3 linked regions of the Oreochromis niloticus genome follow. The protein of the gene in region 3 purifies or fractionates together with the protein of the main gene of each other region. This does not show direct contact. Links are inferred from orthologs where the notes say so. Each region holds a gene or a part of one and is shown on either strand. Other genes may lie near its edges.

Region 1 (6,934 bases), on a different chromosome or scaffold from region 3:
TGGGGGAGCAAACGGAAGGACAAATGGATGGAGGGAAATAGGGAAAAGTAGGAAGGAAAAAAAAAAGAGGAAGAATGTGGCTGCGATGCGTGGATTAATGAGCAGAAGCTGGGATGCAGAAGGGCATAATGCCATTTGATAAATAATGCAGGAAAGGAGGCAGGATGTGTGATGGACACACAGACGGACGGCTGCCAGCTAGCAAAAGGTAAAGTGGCTGGGGAGATGGCATGATTACTGGTTACGGACAGGGAGAAGGGCTGGGGTGGGCGGGGAGATAGACCGACACGTGCGGCTGATTGACAGGCCGCCACACCTCCCTCTAAAATAGATAGCCGCTGCTGCCACACAGTGACGGAGGAGGGAGGAGAGAGGAAAGGGAGAGGGGATGGAGAGATGCCCAAAGTAGGGGCAAAAAGCTGCTTTAGAAGCTTGGCTTGATGACGACCAGATGCCACGCTTTCAATCAGATCTGAAATAACATGAATTCAATCGTCCATTGACAAAAACACTCTGAAAAGCTTGATTTTTTTCAGCGTTCTGTCATTGGGATTAAAAACAAAATGCCAGTCCAAGAAAATGGACTGTTTGTCATTTTCTGCTTAAATAATCACAGTTTTACAAATTTCGCTCTTTACATTTTTTGTCAATTAAGTAAATAAGCAAGCAATTTCCTGCCTTGCATCATTTCATCAATGCCCTATCCAAAATGACTGATACTTCCACACAGACGACGACGCCTGCATGAGGCTGAAAAGTGCGGCACATGTCTGGCCCCAAAATATGCCCAGTCTCTCTAACCCGCAGTCCTCTAAAACAGCAGGGGCTGCCCATTCAGGATGTAGTGCATGCTGAGTGTGATCCTCCAAAATGGCTGACAGTTTCACCACAATGTCTGTGTGAGAGAGGAAACTGTGCCGCTCGCACTGCCTCCAAAGCCTCGCTAACCCACGGTGCTCTAAAACAGCAGGTCCCGTCTATTCAGCCCGACTCCCTTTTGTGTCAGCGCGGGCTGCTGTCGTTACCCCCGGTGCGACAGGCTGCCAACGCTTTCTAATGAGTCATTTTTATTCAGGCGATAAGGTCAGCTACCCGCGGCGGCTTAAAAGGCCCTGAGGAGCTCTGGAGTGGCAGCTATGAGATGCCAGACAGACGCACGGAGATGTACTGGCACACAAGGAGGGGAGGGAGGGGTGGCACTCAGAACCACTATGGACAGAAACACTAAAGGATTTTTTTTTTTTAATCTGTGTTTAATAAAGGAAACATGGCAAAAATAAGAAACGAGGAAAAGGAATAAGCTACATTTCAAAAGAGGCTCCCACCTCCCCGTTTATGCCCGTCTCTCTTTCTGCCGAGCTGGATAGCTGGAAGACTGGGCGTGAACTTTCAGAGGCTCTTTTTTCCTCCTGGTTCCTTTCTTTCCACGTCTGGGTTGTGTTAATGTCAACTGAGAATAGCTTCTGAGGCACGTGTGAAGTTCAAATCTCCGCTGTTGGCTGGCTATGGGCTTTTGTGTGTGTGTGTGTGTGTGTGTGTGTGTGTGAGTGTATGTGTGCGTGTAGGAACACCAGTGTCAAACAAAGACATGGTGGCAGCTTGGTTCAAAACAAGCTGTTCATCCCCCCTGTGCACTCACTCTTCTCATGTCGTTTCAGCCTCTCTTTTTTTAAAAACACACAAATTCCCTCAACTGTTTCTGGAGCAGGCTTCGACCATGGGATTGGATTTCTGTCTTTAGTAAGTAATTTCGGGTATTAGCTCAAGTTAAGGCTTCTGATAGGCTCGTGTTTTAATGAGCCCTGACCCCAGGATGGGTGTAAATGTGTAAAGCTGTGGGGTGGAGGTGGAATTAGCAACACCTATACACGTGTTTTCTTGTGTGTGGCACTGCTGGAGACCTCATCTGTGTCCCTCTGTTTGATGCACAAACAACTTTTTTAGAAACGAGAGGGAAATGTTTTCAGTTTTGAGGACGTGACACCGGCCCAAAAGACGGCTCAGTGACCAGAAACAAAAAAAAACTAGCAACTCTGACATTTCCCCCCTCAAAACATGACTGCAGCCATTCTTTGCCTCCGACTCTGTCACAACAGCGTGACGGTTTTCAGCTTCTCACACCTTCTGCAGTTTCTTTTTACTGTGTCAAGCTGTTAACAGCACACTAATTGGTGTAATTTGTTTTTCTCTCTTTGCAAAGTCATCATCTACATAAAGAGTACAAACGGGACTTTTCCACTAGAAGAACCATTATCCTTGAGTAGGAACCTTGGAGGAACTTTGTGTGTTTCTACTAAAAACACCCCTGCTCTCGCACTCGTACCTTCTAAAGGTTTAGGGATCTTCTATCTTATTACCACTGTTTTTGCATGACTACCTAATGGACTGGAGCAGAGCAGTTTCAGCAAACCCAAGTACTTGAATTTTCGGATTTAAGTAATTTCTCTGGCCCTTTATTTAGACCCTTGTCCCTGCAGTAGAAACACAAGAAGTCCCTCCAAAGGTTTTAACCTACAGGGAAAGATCATCAGTTCTCCAAGAGTTCTCAATTCTATTAACAAAACAGCCAGTCCTGTATGCTTAAGGGTTAATCTGTAGTATACAGCAAACTTGCATATGTATAATCACTTACTGAATGCTGCTGATATGAACAAATAGGCCGGTTTACTTTATTTCACACTTTAACGCTGATTAATTCAGCAAAGTATTACTGCTGTACAGTACACACCTACACATCTACTCAATCTGCTCTTTTGTAGCACCCAACCCAGGGACAAAAACAAAAGAAAACGTTAGTGCAAAGATGAGCTATGCACTATTGCATTTATCTCCTTAATGCTCTCCTTAGAGCATTAAGGAGGTGGACTTAAACCCACCATTAGAGTTTGTGGTTCCATCCCCATCCAGCTGCCGTTTCTGTGCAGTCCTAAACTCCTTTAGGGAGAGGTAAAGCACCTTTCGCATAACCCGCTCCTCCGACCACGGGATCCCATCACTGTCATCCTGTGAAGATATCAAGATGGTGAAAGTGGATTAGTGTAAGCCCTCATCGCAGAGAAAAACCACAAGCAATGTGCATTTCTCCATTTTCTGCAACCATTAACTCTGTTTCTGTTCACATCATGTTTTGGAAAGAAAAAAAAAAAACACTTGGCAGACAAGAACATGAAAAGCACATAATAAAAGACAGTATTTGTAAGTTGGACAGCTGTTTATGCCGGGCCATTTCCTTTGTTTCTTTTTGCAAGGCAACAGAACTTCCAAAGTAGTGTGGCGTTAGGTCAAGGTCAGGAAATGCTCACAGGCCAGCCAGGCTTAGATTTGCCTCAAAACAAAAGAAAGCTTAAACTAACTTCAACAAAGTCTGTAAATTTTCACATTTTTGCGAAGAGATACCCACATAATTACTCAGCACTTTCAATGTAGCATTAAAACTCCAAAAATAGCGTAGAATGAAGGAATTTCTTACAGAAAAAAAAAAAGATTTTAGCTAAACTATGAACAAGCTATTAAAATTAGAGAATGAAAACTGTGGACCGCAGTAATTTTAAATTATTTTATGAATAGTTAACACAGAAATAAGGAATGCATAATTATTAAAACAGATGGTCAAAACAGAACAAAACTATTAGCTTGATTAAAGTACTTGTAAAAGTTAAAATTTTTAGCTAACACTGTGGATAAACAAATGAATGTATTAGCAAGACACAGTGGATATTTCTAATAATATTAGCGAAAATTATGAAAGCTAAAAGTATGGCCTGAGCCAGCAATGTAACAATGACCCAACAGAGTGGAGAAACAGTTAAAGCTGTTAGCTTACAATACAAACTAAATGTAGCTAGAATGTAGAAGAACATCAGATAAATAATCCGAGTTTTGGATGACGGCTGTGCTAATGTGTGAGCAGTTATGATAGATTTAGTAAAGAGAGGGAAAAAAACAAATAAAAAGGTCCGAGTAGAATGGGGACTCCCTTCCATATTGTTCTTATTGCATCCTTCCCGAACATTTCTCACTACATAGTGACATTAGCATGACACAATATTAGCATAACATAGCATTAGCTTAGACACAGGGCAACACATTAGCATAACAATACATTAAGGGGTCGCATTTTCCCCACAACGCCGTGAGCGGAGAGCATTAAAGCGATGAATAGGTAGGAAGCAAATGAAAAAGGCATCATGGGACTGCGAGTTTATGTGTTGCTAATCTCTCCCAGTGAGAACGAGACAAAAGATGTTATTGTCAAAAGAGGTCACCAGGAGTCACACATGCACACGCACGCACACACACACACGCACTAACACGCACGCACAACACATCCTTCTCCGAGACATAACCCATTCAGACTCGGTCTAGGCAACAAACACAAGATGGTCGAATGTGCAGCACATGGAGGGAAAGTTATTGGAAACACTCATTGCTCGCACTGAGAGTTTTAACGGCTTATTGGAAAAAAATATTCCAGCCCAAAGAGCATTCTAAAAAGGGTCTTTAGTGAGTGTCCAACAGCAATCACCATACTTCTTTCCTCCCTTGCTGCTTACACTCATTGCTCTGACAGCTGTGTTTGATGTCGAACAACGCTAATGACTAAAGGAAATGAGATTAGGACATGCGCAACAACAAAGAGGTATTAATAAATAATGGAAGCTGGAAATAGCTTTTCTCTACTCGAGTCATGGGGCGAGTGGTTTTCAGCTGTTAAGTCTCAGAAAAGAAAACATTTGCTGCTTTTATGTAACCGAAAAAAACCCCTAATGTATGCTAATTATCTGAATTAAAAGCACATTTCAGGTCCTGTCGACCCATCTCAGCAAGCACATTTCCTTCTGTCTGAGTCAAATGTAAAGAGGCAGACCTGTGTGGGAGCACACTGTTTGTTCATCCAGTTGACTCAGACCACTGGAGCTGGCTCTGCTAAGTGGCTGGCGGACACTGCAGTGGCATCATTGTTGGCTGGGTGCATTATTTTAAAAATAAATAAATAAAATTCCACATCAAACAAAAAAAAAAATTTATAATAACAATCATATCAAACTGTTTTACTGCTGCTGATAACAAGATAACGACGATAGAATTTGTTTTAATAGAATACTAAAAGATAAATAAATAAAAAGCCCCAAAAAGGAAAGAAAAAACAGAAGCAGAGGAGTAAAGATGACGAGCTGTGGGAACACAAACTGTACTTCTGTGTGCGTGGAAGATGGAGAGCGATGTAATCTTATCCTACTGGTATGGATTCTCCCACAGGCGAGTGAATAAGCCCGTTGTTTCTGACTCCTGGGGTCGGAAATGTTCTCTACACACACAATCAAACATGCAACTAAGATATGATAGGAAGGAGCAGAAAATAGTGTGAAAGTGGTGGGCTGCCTTTGCACAACTTTATTTAAAAAGGAAAAAGAAATAAGCCAGCACAGTACAAATTTTGGATTACAGGCCAGATGCCAACTTCAGTGATATGGTGTCTAATTTAAATCTTATTAAAAGGTCGCAGAGATATCTTGAGTGTTCTCTGTTGATATGACTGTAACACTGACAAAACTGAAGATTCTCTTTGTTGTTTCCGTCTCTTCGGTGGATAAAAATAAGCTCCTGCCTTTGTTTTGATTTCCCAGGTCTGCCCGGGGACCCTTCGGGGAAAGGCCTCAAGAGCTGGCGAGGGGAAAGGTGGGCAAAATATTAAAAGCTGAGTGTCTGCACATGATGGAGCTGATGGGTGACAGCCATGTCTGCCTTTATACAACACACACGCTCGCACGTGCACACACACACACGCAAGCAGACCTCCCAGTGCACTGATGCTTCGCAGCCTCTGACAGAGGGTGATAGGGTATTTTTTAGGGGTGTAACGTGCAGTCACTCATTACACTGTCACACATGACCACACGCACACACACACACTAGAGAGACAGATAGCGGGAAGTATTCAATTATGCCATTTTCTCCTGTAGTTAATGTCATCTAATCCATTCACTGTGTGTGCATGCGAGTGTGTCTGTGTGTGCATGTGTGCAAAAGCCTGCCAGGTAAGCACCAATTACCTAGACAGCTCACTAGCACTCTTTCCCTCCATGGTGTGGCAGAAGGCCAAATGTACACACACACACACACACACAGCACTGACAGTATATCTCAGGGTTACAAATGCTCTCATATACAGATTCTATGGCTCGACACACACACAAAAACACCAGACACAGCTGCATCGGGAGAAAAAAATGACCTTAAAGTTCATCTGTATTTCTTTTTCTCTCCGTTTCTCTGTGGTTTCCTCACAGTAGTTGGCAGATTGCCACAGATATTTCCTGCACTGTGTACACATGTGAGACTGGGGGGAAAAAAAAAAAAAAAAAAATGCAGGGAAGAAATGCTGACCGACTTTTCACCGAGGGGAGAAACGAAAAGAAAAAAGTGACGGTTAAAGCTGTGCTCTGCCGCAACTGCTCTAACCTAAAACTTCCCAATACTTGCTCATAGCTGCACGAGATCAATTAAACAAGTTTCCACAGCCATTTTCTGACCCAAGACAAAATGGGCCTTCTGATCAGAAGAACCTGCCCCTGCATGTGTGTTTGGCAAAATGTTGGTCAGCATTACAAAAACCCTCCATAACCATATACATCGTGTTACCACAGGACAAGCTTAGCATGAGAGAAGAAGAGAAACATCTACTCAAACAACCAAAACCAAAACGTGCTGCACCTCACTTTCCCTGACAAACACAGCACACCGTGCGCGTGCGCGTATGTGTGCGCCTGCGCTTGTGAGGCACTGCCAGAACTCTTCAGAGACCGCTTCTACACAGAGCTACCTGGCACTGACACACACATCTACCCTACAACTAGCTCCCACCAGGCTAGTGGAATTCCACTAATGAGCGCGGGGACCTTTTCGGTGCACACAGTGCGTATGTATAACCAAG
Region 2 (7,912 bases), on a different chromosome or scaffold from region 3:
ATAAAGTTGTGCTGCAGAGGGGACCAGGAGTACATAAAGGGGATTCCAGCTACTGTTGACAGTGGTCTCATGGCAATGGCTTGAGCTTTGAATCCTGGGAAGCCAAACTCCACTGTACACACCTGTAAGATAACCAGAGGTGGCTTGAGAATCACCAGATCCTAGAACAATATGCTGCAGCACTTGGCCGTTTTATAACTACACACTTAACTCTGAGCAGGGGGAATAAAACCAGTTAACACAATACAGCCCACCATGACAGCATGCGGGAGGAGAAAGATGTGGTTATACCATCAGGCTGTATGTATTATAAGCTCCCACAGGGCAGCAGACTGTTAGACTGTCATGCGATCCACTTCTACCACACTTTCCCATCCAGTTGGGAATCGGTATAGAAGATTGGGAGGGGTGAGGAGATCTCAACATGATGTTCAAGAAGGGATTTCCTCACAACACATTCACATTATAAAAATATATTGAACTTCTAGCTTAGCCAGAGCATCTTGGACAGGAATAAGAAGACGTACCGCAAGGTTCAGATAATAGTGCAAATCATGTGTCCTGCCATTGTCTTAATAGTCTCCATCGCTCTCTTTTTGTATATTTTGGGTGGCTTTTAGCCTTTCTTATCTTCTCTCCACTGTCCTATCACAATAAAGCTGACAGAAGAGAATGAGCGGTTTCAAACCCTGGACACTGCATCACAGCATAAGGGTTGCATGCTCAACTAAAGCTAGATCAGTGCCCCATAATTTCTCCGTCTCTCTCTGACAGACCACACACCCACCTTTTTGGTGGCCAGAGCCCCATTAGAGGTTGACAGAGGGATGGACTGAATCCGGAGCTTGGACCATTCTGTGTTTAGGATATTTGTCTGTTGCTCAATCTTTTGCCTGTTAGACATGAAAAGGGTCTAGAAAAAAAAGAGAATAAAAGACCAAGTTAAACAAGACATACACACTATTAATATAGCACACGCATTGAGAACTGGATACAAAAGACACACCAGGATCCCACGTACAAATTAAGCGTTGCTCTTTATTTGTTCAGGACCATTGCACAAAACCCTGATTGCACAAGAGAAAAGATGTCTTGTGCCATATTTAGCTACAACCTTATCTTCATTCACAGACCCTGAAAAAAACTGAACATCTGAATTTAACTTGGGTGATGTCAATGTGACTCACTTTGACCTCTTCTGCTTTTTTAAGGCGTTTGACCTGGCGAAGGCGCATATACTCAGACTTGACCCTCCGTCTCCACTCCAGCATGCTGCGAGAAGGGATAAAGGAGGAAGACTGAGGTCTTGGAAGTGATGGGGCAACACCGGTGTCAGGGGCTGCTGCACTTTCCTCCATGACTGTTTAAAAATAAAAGGAAAGCATATGACAAACAGGCCCAACTTCAAAACATTCCAGTTTCATATTCAGACAAGTTACTTTTGTAAACTTAGGTTTGTTTTCATGTTTTCTGCCACAGTAACTACTTTCACTAATTACATTAAATGTAATATAGTAGTAGTATAGCAGTAGTTCTGATGTAATATGCCTGCAGTCCACTTCAGTTACCTTATTATAGTACTAATGGGCTTACTATCGCCCTCTGTTTCTCACAACCCCATTACATTTCCCCATTCACCCTCGCCGATGGTCTTTCTGAAAGAGTGCCCCCATCTGTTAGCAAAACAAAACAGACGTCTAATGCAAAAAAAAAAAAAAAAAAAGCCTCCTCGAGTGCTTTACGGGGCTTTTTCTGGTAGACTGTTTCTGCTCTTTTTATAAATCTTGGGGAAAATTGATTGAATTATGCGCATACAGCGCGACAGTGTGCGCATCTATGAATACAGCACATGAATTTAATAGCACGGGGCATCCACATTGCACAGGAGTGGGCGTGCCACTTCAGAAAAGCAGAATAGAAAAGTGCGTAGTACAGTTTTTCTGTGTTTCATAATCGCCACGCTGAATATCAACTTCCCCGTCTGAACTCAAACGGAATTAAAAATAAATACAAAGGTAAAACTGAGCTCGGGGAAACTGCTGCACCTCGTTTTTGGGGGCTACGAAACGTGCACACGTTTCAGACACATGAAGCTATGAAGTCCGCGACGTCCTGTAAGTGCAGCCCCGTGCCAAGAGAGCTACACAGTACCCATTTAAATGTAGAACACTCTAAAGACGTGCGCACCGAACAGCACAATGACGGCACGTTACACTAGCGCACGGGTGTGCACGTCAAGATCGCTACATCCAGTGTCGCAGTTATTAAATACCTTTAAATCCACGTCTCGTGTCCTATTTGTTGCGACAACAGCCCGCAACGCGACCAAGTCCCTTTCTGTTTTTCTCTCTCTCTCTCGTTTTTTTTTTTTTTGTTTTTTTTTTTAGTAGAGAGATCCGGAGCAATTCAAGGCTGTGTTTGCTATGGCTCTGACGCAGTTATCATCTCCGCGCAGCGAGGGGATCTCTGAGAAATCTCTATCCATGGGCATGGTGCTGGAGGTTGTTGTTGTTGTACCTTACAAATAACTGCGCACTTGGCTTGGTTGATCCAACTCGAGCAGGAGGGTGACGTCTATATTATGATCACAGCCTTTCCAAGCAGAGGAGGATTTATTACTATTCTGCGTCCTGGGAATAAAAAGTAGCGTGCAGCAGCCACAGCACAGCCATTTACACGCATACACAGGAACTGATGCAACTGTCCGGAGTGCTAGATCGCCATCTAAATGCGTGAAGGCAGAACACTCTGTGGGTTTTGATAGTAGAGCAAGTGCAAACACATAATCTTAAATACAGCCGACTCTATAGGAGCGAAAGAATAAAATGGCCTAAATAAACATTATGAATACACGTAGCTTTATAGGAGTATCGGGTATTTATTTTATATATTTACCAAAAAAATCAATGCAAAATAAACTTCTCACAAAACCTGAAAATAGATGCATTAATTCAGTCTGCCCACAGAGCTGAAGTAACTGTCTAGCCTACGAATTAAAAATAATAAATACTTGGACACTGGAACACAGTTTCCCGACATTCCAATGTACTAGGGTCAAATGGAAAACAATTCAGCTGCTGTTCAGCTCTTCTCCTCCAGGGAGAGCCCGACACACAAAGATAGAGGGTTGGATGACGGTATTCACGCCACTGATGCTGTCACTTAACCCACGTAAAACCCACTATACAGAGCTCAAGCAAGCTGAAAAATGATGTTTTCGATGGACTTTGATTTGACGAGCAGCGATATGAGAAAGCATAATGACTTGAATTTACAGAGAAGTATATTAACCTCTGTAAATCTTTGCTTATGTGTAAGTAGCCAAACGTCACACCCCTTTTGTAGGGAAATGTTTAATTTAACACATCACGCGTAAACCGGACGTAGGGTTCAACGGAACACGTGGTAATAGCTAATCTCATTCCATTTTCTGGCTTGATTTGATTTAATGTACACAAGCTAACTGCTAACACCTAACACTATAAATAATTACGATAAATTACCAATAGTCACATTACTATGGAGGCACTGATTCTGACTTGTGTATACATTTAAAATCAGAGAAAATCAGTTAATTTGCTACAATCACTTTAAATAGATTCAAATATTTACGTTCAATTAAATATAAAATGTAGTGTGGATAAATAGTGTGTGTACTTAATGCCAAATAAGAAGCTGAAAGTGCAGGCAATCGAGTAGTGGTTTGCTATAAATAAAAGTCCTTGAAAGTACTGCTTTGATAAACATGTTAGATGTTGTGTGTGCTCTCCACGGGAGGAATTTTAACATATCCCCTCAGGATATAATACAAAGAAAAAAGTAAAATACAAAGGATATATTTAAAAATATTTACTCTCAGGGTATTTTATTTATAGCTCCCATTTATTTCATTTTATAGTTTATTACTTGTAAGATATTAAAAAAATCCCCAAAAGCAAACACAGTAATTATTCATCTGCAAGACACAAGATGGCGCTATTTAGCTGGTTTTTAATGGAAGGACGCCACATGAACTCATATGTACACATCAAAGTAGGATTAAGAGAAATGAAACTTTATATCGCCTTAACAGACCCATCGTGTTTCTCTCTGATTGCTGTTGTTGCTGATCCCCTCTGTTCCCTGGCTGTGCTGTTTGTGGCACGCATGCCTGCTTATGATTTATGCATTCAGTGAGCAAAAGGTATCTCAGATAGTACAGTTTGTTTGCCATATCCACAGTGATATTTGAAGTAGCCACTGCCATGTTGATACTAAACTGTCAAACAAAAGCAAACACACAGAGGAAGATGAGCTTAGGACACTGTTATCAGCAGGAAGTTTTTAATTCTGCATCATGTAAACTGCGTGTGTTGATCTTGGCATCTCTATTTGGGATACATTTCTTCAGATATGCTGCAGGCTTTATGATCTGTGACAAAGCCTTGGAGATGAAAAGATTTACAACGTAGCTAATAAAACAGAGACTTCGAAAGCCATTTGAAATAGTGAGTGACTGTAGAAGCATTCATTTTCATAGAACACGTGTCAAAGTAAATGTTTACTTACTTACATTTCAAATATGCTTCATGCTCCACTTCGCTCACACTCCAAGTTCAATATTTAAGCTTCTATATGCTGGATTTTTAAAGTTCAGTCCATTACATGTAAAACAGTGGCCTCCTTTAACTGAAATGAAATGTGGAAGCAATTTTGGCCTGAGCTACTTGGATTTCTTCCAAGCCTAGCAGCTGAAAAAGAGTACTCATCCCTCAGTGACGTGAATCAGTTTCATACTGGATATTCCAGCCACCTCTCTTTACCACAGACGTTTATTGAGATAGATAGATATTCTTTACCCACGGTTAGTCAGTTGCTCCACAGCAATGAAATATGAATCCATGACCTAAAAAAAATGTAGATTCATTAAAACTTTGTCTGATATTTCTGAACAATAAGCTAAAAAAAAAAAAAAAGTATCTCTTCTTTGTGATTCGCAGCCCTGTGTGTTTCTCCTAAAAATACTTTACTGAAAACTTTTACTTCTCTAAATCTTTGAAAAGCAACTTGTCAGCAGCATGTATCCTGTCAGTCTAACATAGCTTGCATTTGATCAGAAGCTCCTGCATGTTTGCAATAAAATTCTGCTTGCAATGATAAATAAAGAGGCAGAAAGTGGGGAAGAGAAAAACAGGACAAAGTGTGGCCCCTGAAAACAGAGGGTGGGACAAACTAAGGAAATAGATGAAGAGAGAGAGATTGATAGTGCTGCACCAATGGGCCGCAATAGTCCTAACTTTATCAGAGGCTCTTTGCCCCATTTGGTGAGTCCGCCCCTACTAGGAAATGAGGGCTTCCTGTTGCTTTACACAGCCTTCCTGCAAAAGGTTGAGATATGTAATTCTTACCCATCAGGGAAGAGGAGAAGAACATTAGGCAAAATGACACTCACCAGATTCTTAGTTATGTATTTCAGAGTTTTTATGCTTCTTTTCATCTGGGGTAAGTAAAGGCTTTATGCTATCCTATTTTTATTATTTTGACTTAATCTTTTAACTTTTCCATGAACTCACCTCTCAATAAGAATTCAAAGAAAATGTTTAGTAATTAGTAGATTTTAGTAAGGAGTTTAGTTAATCCCCTGACTGAGTTTTACACTGAAACAGTTTGGATTAAGGGTCAAAGAGTAATTGTGATCAGCCTGAGACAACTGATTTTTCTTAGATCAGTTTTTTTTTTAACTTTAGGAGGATATTTTTATGAATCTCGTTGCATTTTTTAAAAAAATGCAGTTGTCATGAGTCTTTAAGAAATAAAATATTTCAGTCAATTACTTATTTATTTCGCGCAATAGGACCGCGATCACATGGGATGAGCTTTTGAGTTGAACACATTAAGATTTCCTTAGAAAAGTGCTAGACAAAGGGAGGATGCACTCATGTGTTCACTCAGCACGGCATGTTATTTCCTTTACTGCCCCACTCAGGTCTGCAAACTACATATAGAAGATTATGTACACGTATAAAATATTGTGGTGTTTTAAATCAACAGTTTTATTCCAATGTTCAGGTCTTTATTTTATTCCTCTTATTACAGCAAGCACAGCAGTGGTATGTCAAAGTGAAGAAAAGGTAACTGTGCATCCGACAGTAACAGTAGGTAAGTACATTTACAGAAATAAGCAACAAACCAAGGAAGAAACAAAATTCATGCATGACCACTGACTAACTGATACCCCTCCTTTGCAGAGTTTAACTCAACAGACAGGATGATGACTCTTAGTAAGTGCATACATTTTCTCCATCACTTTATTATAGACTGACAGCTATACATCTATGTCTATATGTCCTAGATTTTGTATTTTTACAGTTCCAAATGGGGTTTATGTAATTGCATCCACTGAGGAATTGCTTTGGATTACATTTCTAAACTTATTTGCCTGGTCTGGAACTGACAAACCAGAAAAGCAGAACTCAGGGATCCTTTTTTCTGCCAAGATTTGTCCTTGTGTGTATTACCATGAGAATCCAAGACAAACTCCTGGGGAGGTCTCTACCAGTGAGGGGTCAACGTCAGTGGACATGAGGCCCGTACTGGTTTGGGGTTGGAGGGTAACTGAAACCTCATCACGAGCAGCCCCCACCTGGCTCGACTTCCTTAATTTGTTCGTCATTCACCCCACGCAACGTCTGTGATCAACGCATGAACTCTGAGTTGTGAAACAACTAGAACATTGGAGCAGCGCCCCTTTCACTGTTCCTCATCCTGTGCCTTCCTTTTTTTCCTTTTTTCCTCCATCCCCCGACTGTCCCCTCCTCCCCCTGCCAGCGCTCTCAACTCTGAGCCCCCCACCCACTGAAAAAAAAAGAACACATTTCCTGATGTCATTACTAAATCAAAATGTTGCTTGGCAAACAGATGTTGTGAGAGGCCGAACATATGGATTTAGTGTCATAAATTAACAAGCTGGTTGTGAGAAACCCTAAACCATAGATTTCATTTTTAATTCAATCAGTGAAAGCACCTCTCTTGCACACAATTTTTTTTTTTAAAGACAGTGAGAAACTATCTTCCAGATGTATCACACACATGAGCAAGATTTCCCGTACTTGTAGCGTTAATTACAGAATGTTTTCCTACTAGCATGCATGCGTAACGATAGTTGGCCCTTTAAACAGCTGGTCAACTTTGACAAACAACTATTTCCAGGTTTGGTCAAATTAACCTAAATATGAAATCATGGCTGTCTGCAGAGCACACCCTGCAGAGTCATGATTACATCCACCCCGAAACGCTAAGTCCTAAATGTTTACTTATGTTTCCTATTTGGCAGAGACAGCCCAAAAGGCAAATAAATCACATGCTGTGAGCTGGCCAGGCCTTCAACTGTGAGAAACTGAGACTAAAACGCAGAACAAGAGTTAAAGAGTAAAGGGTTTTCAGATGTGAGTCCAGCCCCAGTTTGGGTGTGCTCCCTTTTATTTGGGAGAATGGAGAGGACAATCTTTGTTGCCTCCACCCCTTTAAAAACGGAAGAAAATTTTAAAGAAACGTGTGTTAGAGAGGGGGAGAGCCGCTGCCAAGGCGGAGGGCCATCAGACAGATCTTCGAAGAACATCTGGTAACCGCGGGTAACATTGTTTGGACATCTGGTAACCGAAGATTGCACTGCGTCTCTTCCATCCTGTCGGGTTTCCTGTTATGCCTCGCTGTATGAAGTCTAAGAAGTTTTGGTTTTTTATACATGGTTATACGCTGGGGAAAACACACCTTTATTCATTTTTTCTGACATGAAGGGAGCACTTGGTTTCATAGGGTTATTCCTCTCCTTTCTCTCCGGTGAGTGTGTGGTCTCCCTTTTATATATGGAAATGCCTGCCTCTGTGCTAGAGATGTGGAAAAAATTCATTATCTAAAGTAGACAAAATTTCCC
Region 3 (7,758 bases):
AGAAAAATCTGTACCTTAGATAGAGAAGTGAGCTCGCACTCTGAGCAAAGCCACTTGTCATCAGAGTCGATGACAGCAGCATCGATGACAGGGGAGTGACACCGCTGGTGGTAGCCTAAAACACAAATGAACACATCCGTAATGGCCAGAGATTAGAGCCCAACAGACGAATAAATAAACTACTGAGACTGGCTGTTTAAATGGGTTATAAATATAATATAAAATAACTGTTTCTGGCTTATGTTGGAACATCAGAGACAATAAATGATACCTTGTCCACATTTGTCACAAATGACAATCTCATTGGGTTCCTCTGAAGTTTCGTCCTGGCATATGGAGCAGACAATGTCATCGTCGTCGTCATCCTCATCATCTTCTTCCCCTAAACAGCACCAAAGTCATGAAGGTAAGCAACTAAAGTTTCAGATCAATGGTGGTATGACTAAGGGTATCATTTAAAGCAGCTTTCAGTTAAACGAGGTCAGAGGAGTACACCGAGTCATCACATGAACAAAAGATGACTCAAATTCACCCAGCTGAAACTAGAGAAAGGTGGCAGGGAAAATATTTTACAACCTGGATAAATAAAATCCAAACTGTCTGGTTATCGGGGGGGGGGGGGGGGGGGGGTAATCACGCTTCCGTGTCACTGAAGGTCTACACCAGGATACTAGAGAGAAGATTCCATCTACTGGCTTAACTTTTGATTCAGCAGGAATAAAGCCGTTTTCATCCTGATTGCGGACAGTTTGCTGCCTTCTTCCTCCTGAGCATATTCGAGGGTGTGGGATGTTTGTAATAACTATGTGTCTTTTCTAGACCCGAAAGGGGGATTTCTATTCAAATCATTTTTTTTATTTTTTTTTTAATGTAGCGCCAAATAACAGCAACAGTTGCCTCATAGCGCTTTATCACACTTGCACAGGAATAGAATTTATAACAAGATTTTGACTGCATCTCATGTGGTGATTCTTTGTCATACTTTTTTAATATATCACAATTCAACTATTGAGATGAGGTTTGAGGTTAAAATAAATAAATAAAAATTATCCCACAAATCGTTTACAGTCAAATGTGACGAATGTGTCTGATCATAGCTTTCATTAATGCTTTATTCATGACCCATCCCATTTAAGAATAAAAATGAAGAATAAGTTTTTCTTAACACCATAATAGCTAAAGGGGCTTAAGTGGAGCGATAGCAGCCCGTCTGCATATTAGCAATGCACTGCGACTGTACTGATACACTCTACAGTTAACTGTCAGTGACAAGAGCAAGAGATAAGTAAGTCCTGGAAGAGGCAGAAAGGTTTGCACAGCACAAATTGTGGATAATTGACTCCCCACCCTCTTTGCACTGGCTTACAGTATCTTTACTGCATATTATCTAGCAATTAAACTAAAATATATTGCACATTTTAAATTTCCCTTTGGGATCAATGAAGCCATTCTTATCCACCTCGAAGCCAACATTCACCTGTTTGAATATCCTTCCAAAGAACCCAAGACTTTGACCGATCCTCAAAAACCACAAAACATCGGTGCTTGTCCCGATCTATCTGAAAAACAAAACAAAGAAAGATTTACTTGTTTCCAGATGCGACAGGAGCAGATTTTGCTGCAAATGACCTATACTGATTTCAGGAGTTTTTCTGCCAACGCTCTCCACACAGTCCGTTTACCTTCATGCATCATCCTCACACTAACCTTTGCGATTGTCCCCAAGTAGAAAAGGCCATCTGACCACCGGGCCAGGACATCCTGTCCCTCTGAAAACCTATCAGACATGCTGTCTTCTCCATACTCTCCCCTGGCAGAAAGGCTTGTGGGGGACAAGGACACAGCCTGCTGCTGCCGCTGCGGGGGATGAGCTCTGTGATGCACAGACAGGTGATCCACAACCCCTGAGTCTCTGAAAAACAGTGCAATACAAGAGAACAGAGGCAGATGTGAATTTAGACTATGGAGCAAGCGGATATGGAATAAGTTCAAAGTTAATTTAGGAGAATTTTTTTTTCTGCTTACTGTAAACAGATTGTAATTATTTATATGTGGTGTATTCTGTTTCCTCAAAAGAATACTAGTACAACTTAATGCATGTTATTGGTATTTTTTTTTTAAACTGATAACAGCTAGCAGAGTAACAGTCCTGTATGTGTAGCCCTCAAACACAAGGATGCATTGTGTGCTTGCAGAAGGGCTTACAAAAGAGAGTGAAACATGGCATTTCCTCTCCACTGGCTTTGAACAACAGGTGATTATACCCATAATTAGTGCTAATTGGTAATTAACCACATAGTCAGTAACATGGCTTCAATGCAATGAAAGACAAAAAACAAAAACCTAACCACCCTTTTAGAAATAAAGACCAATGTACCAATGTACTTACTACTGAACACTTCCATTCCACCACAAGTCTCAGTGACAGCAGATAGTTTGTACATACTAATACAAAATGTCATATTTCTAGCTTCTATTACAAATGTTATTAATTTCAGATATTAAGAAACTATTGGGGTTTTTTCCTTCGCCTTTAAACGCTGTCCTCCAATGCAGGCTTTCCTTTGTTCGGATAATGAGTGGACATATTCAATGCCAGCCACTTAGCAAAGATAAAAAGACAGCTTGGGATGCCGCTGCACGCTGATATAATGTCTTGTATATTAAATAGCTGGCAGCTGGGCGAGCTCAGCAGCGGGAATAATCCACATGCAAAGCCGTAACCCCAGCCAGGTCGCTGACCGTCGGACCCACACCCCCCCTAACGGGAGGAAAACATGACAACAATACCTCATTCGGTCACCTCCGCTTCTACAAACGACTCGTACGACAAAAATAACCGGACAGAAGAGCCGCTCTTATCCCGCTCCTCGAGCAACTGAATTCACTTCCAAAGCGTGTCTGGAAAACATGCGGGGTTTGTGGCTTCCTCAGAAAATAACAAACGGTTCATTTTCCCCGAGCAAGTTCGCCATTTTGGTTTCCCGCTGGTGATCGGGGAGTGCATTATGGGAAGAGCTTAAACGACTGCTGCTGGCTGTCTCTGCCGCGACGCTCACCATTTTTTCAAACATTTGAAATTGTAGGCAGGGCATTTAGTAAGCAAAACATATCCGCCCCTTAAAGAAGCATATTTTTTTAAATTTTTTTTATTATTTTAGTCGACGTTTTACTGGAGGTGTTATGCGTAAGTGTCTGCCTAAGAGAGACATTCTAAATATAAAATATGTTTACTCAAAAACATCAGAAGTTTAACGATGAGATGTTTGATAAACTTGTGCAAAGTACGGCCACTTCATGGCGCTACAACATAACATGACGCTAACAGGTAATTTTTAATTAGACCTCCTGGCCGGAAGTTGTGTGTAGCGTCTCCGCAATAAAACCTTTATTTTGAAGGAGAAAGCGGATGTTTGTGTTCCCTCTCCTTGCTGGCTTGGGCTTGACCTGCTTGTACCTCCAGAGTTTCGCAAACACGCAATATTGACTCACCGTTATCTGCGGAGGGGATCTGGCATCGGTGAGTGGGCTTGGACAGCAGTTTTGGTCAAATTAGTTGATCACATGTAAACTTAAAAACAGACATCTTATTGGTAGAGTTTGCGCCTGCGCTCTGAACCTGCGTTTTTTTTCCCCAGCTTCAACTATGTTGCTTTGGTTGGAATTCAGCAGCTGCTGCAAACAGAGCCCAGGCGCAGGCAAAGTGTGCCGTCAGAGCGACTCACGCCGTCAACACAAATCGACAATCTGAGCTTAAAATCGGATAACCTGCAATAATTTCCCTGTGCCCGTCGTTTGATGCTGAACAGGCTTTCTCCCATGGGTTTTTGGATGATCCCCCACAGCCAGGTCCACGTCTTGAGATGATCTATTTTTGTGATGGCGAAGGGTCTGTTTCCACGGGCCTGGGTGAAAAAGTCTTTCTACTTTCAGGTAAGATTGCTACCCAGGATGTGTTGTGTGAAGTGGATTGCAGTTTAAAATGAGGGGATGCTGTGGGGTTGTTTGAGCTTGCTGTGGTGCCACATCACACTGACAGCTGGCAGTAAACGGGTACCTCCTCTTGCTGCTCGGTGTGGGCGACATCAAAATACCTGATGAATGCAAAATGCAAAATACCTGATGAATGCGAGCCTGCTCTAGAAACAATATCATCGTTTCCCTGGCTCTGCTTTGTTTTTGACTGTAAAGACGCCAGGGCTTCCACTCAGTCTTTTCCTTGCCTTCAGCAGTGCCAGGGCAGCAGTAATTCCTTTGGGCTGGGTAATAAGGGTTGAACCTTCTGATTTGAGGAGCAGCTGCCAGCAACTTCTCCCAATACAGTAAGGAGCTTATGAAAGAGGAGGAGAGTACAGGGCTGCATTTGCTCTTAAAAAGGGTAGAATGCTGCTGTATTACAACATACACAACAGTCAGTTTAATGCAGTCTACTGAAAGCTGAAACATGTTGAGCTCAAAGTGTGAAACATGTTGGCAAGCTCACCTCATTTCATCTGGCTATAACCAGTAACCAATTACAGTAAACCAATGTCTCCTGTAGGCCCGTGGTTTAATTCAATGAGATCAGTTGCTACTAAGCAACATGTCATCCTGTACCGGGCGTTGTTTTTTTTTTTAAGGCCTGAGAGGACTTTGATCCTAGAAGAAAAAAATGATTTTGCATGTGTTTTCACTGCATATTGTGCATGCAGTCTGCACATTTTTCACAGTAATTAGGCAAATAGTTCTGCTTGTGGTCTACTCAAATCAGTTTCTCCCCATGTTCTCAAACAAAAGGTCAGTGCAAAATGCAAACGGGCTCACCAATTTTGAGAAAAAGCCTCTCTAAGAACTTTCTAGGAAACCTGTTTGCTCATAAATTCACAACGGCAAAATGTGTTCCTTATTTTCTTCCAGGTAGCAAGCTTACAAGGCAGGTTTCAGCAAAGTCATCACAGTTTACTGCAGAGCTGACATATATATGGCTCCTGGACCGAACTGTGCTGTCAGAAATCAAGTAGCTCAGATGTCAAAGCGTGCTACATTTAAAAACCAGTTTAGTAAGGCTTCATTGAGCCTGTAAAGACACGTTTTCAATCAGAGATTATTAGCCACCCTCAGTGCGTCATGCGGGATTAGAGGCAAAAACTGACAAGGAGAGCCAGCTCCGTCCTGAGACGCTCTGTGGATTTCAGGTGGGATGAAATGACAGTGGCCATCACCGCAAATCCCTCTACATGATATGGGTCTTTTGTCTGGGTAACTGAGACCATCTGTTGACAGACAGTGACCCTAAAGCTTGCACTATGGATTTTGTGCTTTGTCACTTAGCTCAGTCGTGCATAGGTCATTCAGCTCTCAGCACTTAGTCATTTTATTTGACTTATCTTGTTTTGTTTATTTTATTGATTTATACCTTGAGGCTGCTATACAACTGCAAAACATGTGGAGTCTCTGTCCCTGTCTTTGTGGTTAGTAATATAGTAATAAACATCTTTTTGACTCTTTTTAACCCTCATACGTGGCATCAGTTAGGTTTATCCATTGTTTTCCTAGTTAAGACGTTTAGTACATATCAGGTTTCATTGCAGAGGAGACACTGTAAGGGACCACAGGGTTTAATGAAGGATTAAGCTCTGTCCTGCTCAGCTTTCACATACCCCACAGACAGTTCACAGACACACATGACTCAAAGTCACTTGCTTGTCATGACTATGGAGGGCTGGGCTGCATCCAACCTTTAATTTCCATGTGTGCACATAGGCAATGTTAATTCCGTTTACACATGCCAAGGCATTCAGATGTGATAGCAATGTTCACTCTCTATCCTTATCTCCATCTCTTTCGTGGAGGCCAACTGTCTATTTAGTCATCTCTTCAGGGCACACAGTGTTTAAAATCAAAGTGGTCATGCAGAGGAGACATCTGTCCTGCTCTATTAAAAAGCAGCTGCTAAAGCTCAAATAAATTCCTGCTGTTGTCAGTAACAGATTGATGAAATGCACCAAATAGAGAGACAATTAATTTGTTATTTTCCCGTACCCTAACCTTTTTGTAAAAGTATTTGGTGAGATGCCTTAAATCTCTAAAGAATACAAATTAAGAGTAATTTGACCCTCTGTCTGTGTGTCAGTGCGGATCAGACGCTTTAATGTCTCCCACAGAGTGTATAAACCCATAACAGAGAGTTCTGCTCTGTTTACAAACTACAGTAATCACAGCACATGAAAGATAAAAAGGCTTTTGACTTGGTGCCTGCCACACCGCCAGGGTATTTTGCTGGGATTTGGAAACACTGCTGAAGCTGAATGAGAGGCACGCCAAGCTGCCAAAACACACACGGCATAACCAGTTCCTGTCATGCAATCAAAGAGAGAAGCAAAATTACTTTATCCTCCCAAGTGCAGTTACAGTCCTCGGAGGAAAAACTAACTGCAGTTTTGTTTGGGTAAAAGTCGAGAAGTGTGGCCGACGGAGGCAGTCTGACCTAAATTCTTTTCACTGCTCCACTCTGCCTTCCAACAGTCCTCTTTGCTTTATCTTTTTGCTTGCTTTTATTTAATTATTCTCTTAGTCTGTGTGCTGCCGAGAGGATCATTTCATTAACTGACTTCAGCTGTTGCTCCAGAGCAACATCAAGACCTCACAGAAGTGTCCTGTAACTTCTTATTGTAAAGTTTTCGCAATTCTAGTTCGACACTCTTTGATAAGGCCGCAGACTTTTCTGCCATAGAAGAGATGGTGAAATGTGTAACTGTGTTGTGTGGATTGCCATGATAGTTGGCTTAGCAACCTTTGGCCCCACTGACCAAAGAACAAATTAACGAATTATTGACACAAAATGTTAACGTTCCCCCTCCCAGAGACTTTTGCAATCCTCTGACTTCAGCACCACCAAATCAGTATTTACCTGCTGTAAGGAGTCCATAAGCCTCAGCTGTATTTTGTGTTTTTTTCTTAGCAAATGTTTGCATGTTGGCATACTAAACTAGGATTTCAAACAAGGTAAAAGTTATAGCTGCTAATCATTGCCATGTTATCGTTTTTATTGTTGCATGCTAAAGTTACACTTTAACTCAAAGCACCACTCTTTATAAGTGCAGCCTCGCAGAGATGCAAAAATAACACTGCTATAGGTTGGTAATAAAGGAAATAGTTACTTTCTGTATGCACAGCTGAACTTTGACTATTTTGGCATTAAACGTGATCTTTCTTCCTGTTTTCAACAACTGCAGCTGTTTTTGTTTCTGATTTGGTTCATTTCACTTCAGTTTTTTATTCCATTAGTGGTGAGAGTCACCAGATACCAGATGATACAATATCATTACCGGGCTTCACACTATACAATATTATTTATCTAGTTTTGCAAATTATGCCCTCAAAGTTGAACTTTGTCAGTGCCTGTTTTATCACAATAACATTGGCAAGCATACCAGTACTCACTAAAACCAGCCATAATTATTGTGAGATAGTCTATGATTGAAAGGGACCAAGTTGGCAATTAAGTGCAATCTATTGTTAATAATACATCAATTAACTGTGATAAATCCTTTAAAATCACATATCTGTTGAAGTTTACATAGGCTCAAATTCATTTTTAAAAGAAATTCACATTACATTTGCGTTCAGCAACCTTCCTGTTCTATAGAAATATAACCAGCTCACAAGCATCCAGCTGACTCAAGTCCTCTCGAGTTGTGTTTACTGACAAAGACTCATTCAGACTGATGGCAACATGTTGTCAATCTGTCTGCATTTATAAATCAGACAGCAATATTT

The links.
Region 1: the proteins of mtf2 (region 3) and jarid2b purify together in Homo sapiens (affinity purification with mass spectrometry; 3 studies listed by BioGRID and IntAct, with this or other methods). This does not show direct contact. The link is inferred for Oreochromis niloticus from reciprocal best matches to the Homo sapiens genes MTF2 and JARID2.
Region 2: the proteins of mtf2 (region 3) and ezh1 purify together in Homo sapiens (affinity purification with mass spectrometry; 3 studies listed by BioGRID and IntAct, with this or other methods). This does not show direct contact. The link is inferred for Oreochromis niloticus from reciprocal best matches to the Homo sapiens genes MTF2 and EZH1.

What each region holds. Positions count from the first base shown.
Region 1 is NC_031985.2:20,234,678-20,241,611, reverse strand, and holds the start of jarid2b (protein Jumonji), read right to left. Parts: upstream 3,004-6,934; 5' UTR 2,965-3,003; coding exon 2,877-2,964; intron 1-2,876.
Region 2 is NC_031969.2:26,101,750-26,109,661, forward strand, and holds the start of ezh1 (histone-lysine N-methyltransferase EZH1), read right to left. Parts: upstream 3,004-7,912; 5' UTR 2,518-3,003; exon of another isoform or gene 2,273-2,517; intron 1,361-2,272; 5' UTR 1,359-1,360; coding exon 1,188-1,358; intron 914-1,187; coding exon 788-913; intron 123-787; coding exon 1-122. Other genes in the region: ramp2 (receptor activity-modifying protein 2), read left to right, coding at 5,421-5,481, 6,076-6,138, 6,228-6,260.
Region 3 is NC_031982.2:10,795,654-10,803,411, reverse strand, and holds the start of mtf2 (metal-response element-binding transcription factor 2), read right to left. Parts: upstream 3,015-7,758; 5' UTR 2,796-3,014; coding exon 2,791-2,795; intron 1,913-2,790; coding exon 1,708-1,912; intron 1,560-1,707; coding exon 1,478-1,559; intron 383-1,477; coding exon 272-382; intron 116-271; coding exon 15-115; intron 1-14. Other genes in the region: dipk1aa (divergent protein kinase domain 1A), read left to right, coding at 3,880-3,933. UniProt on the Homo sapiens protein: Polycomb group (PcG) protein that specifically binds histone H3 trimethylated at 'Lys-36' (H3K36me3) and recruits the PRC2 complex, thus enhancing PRC2 H3K27me3 methylation activity.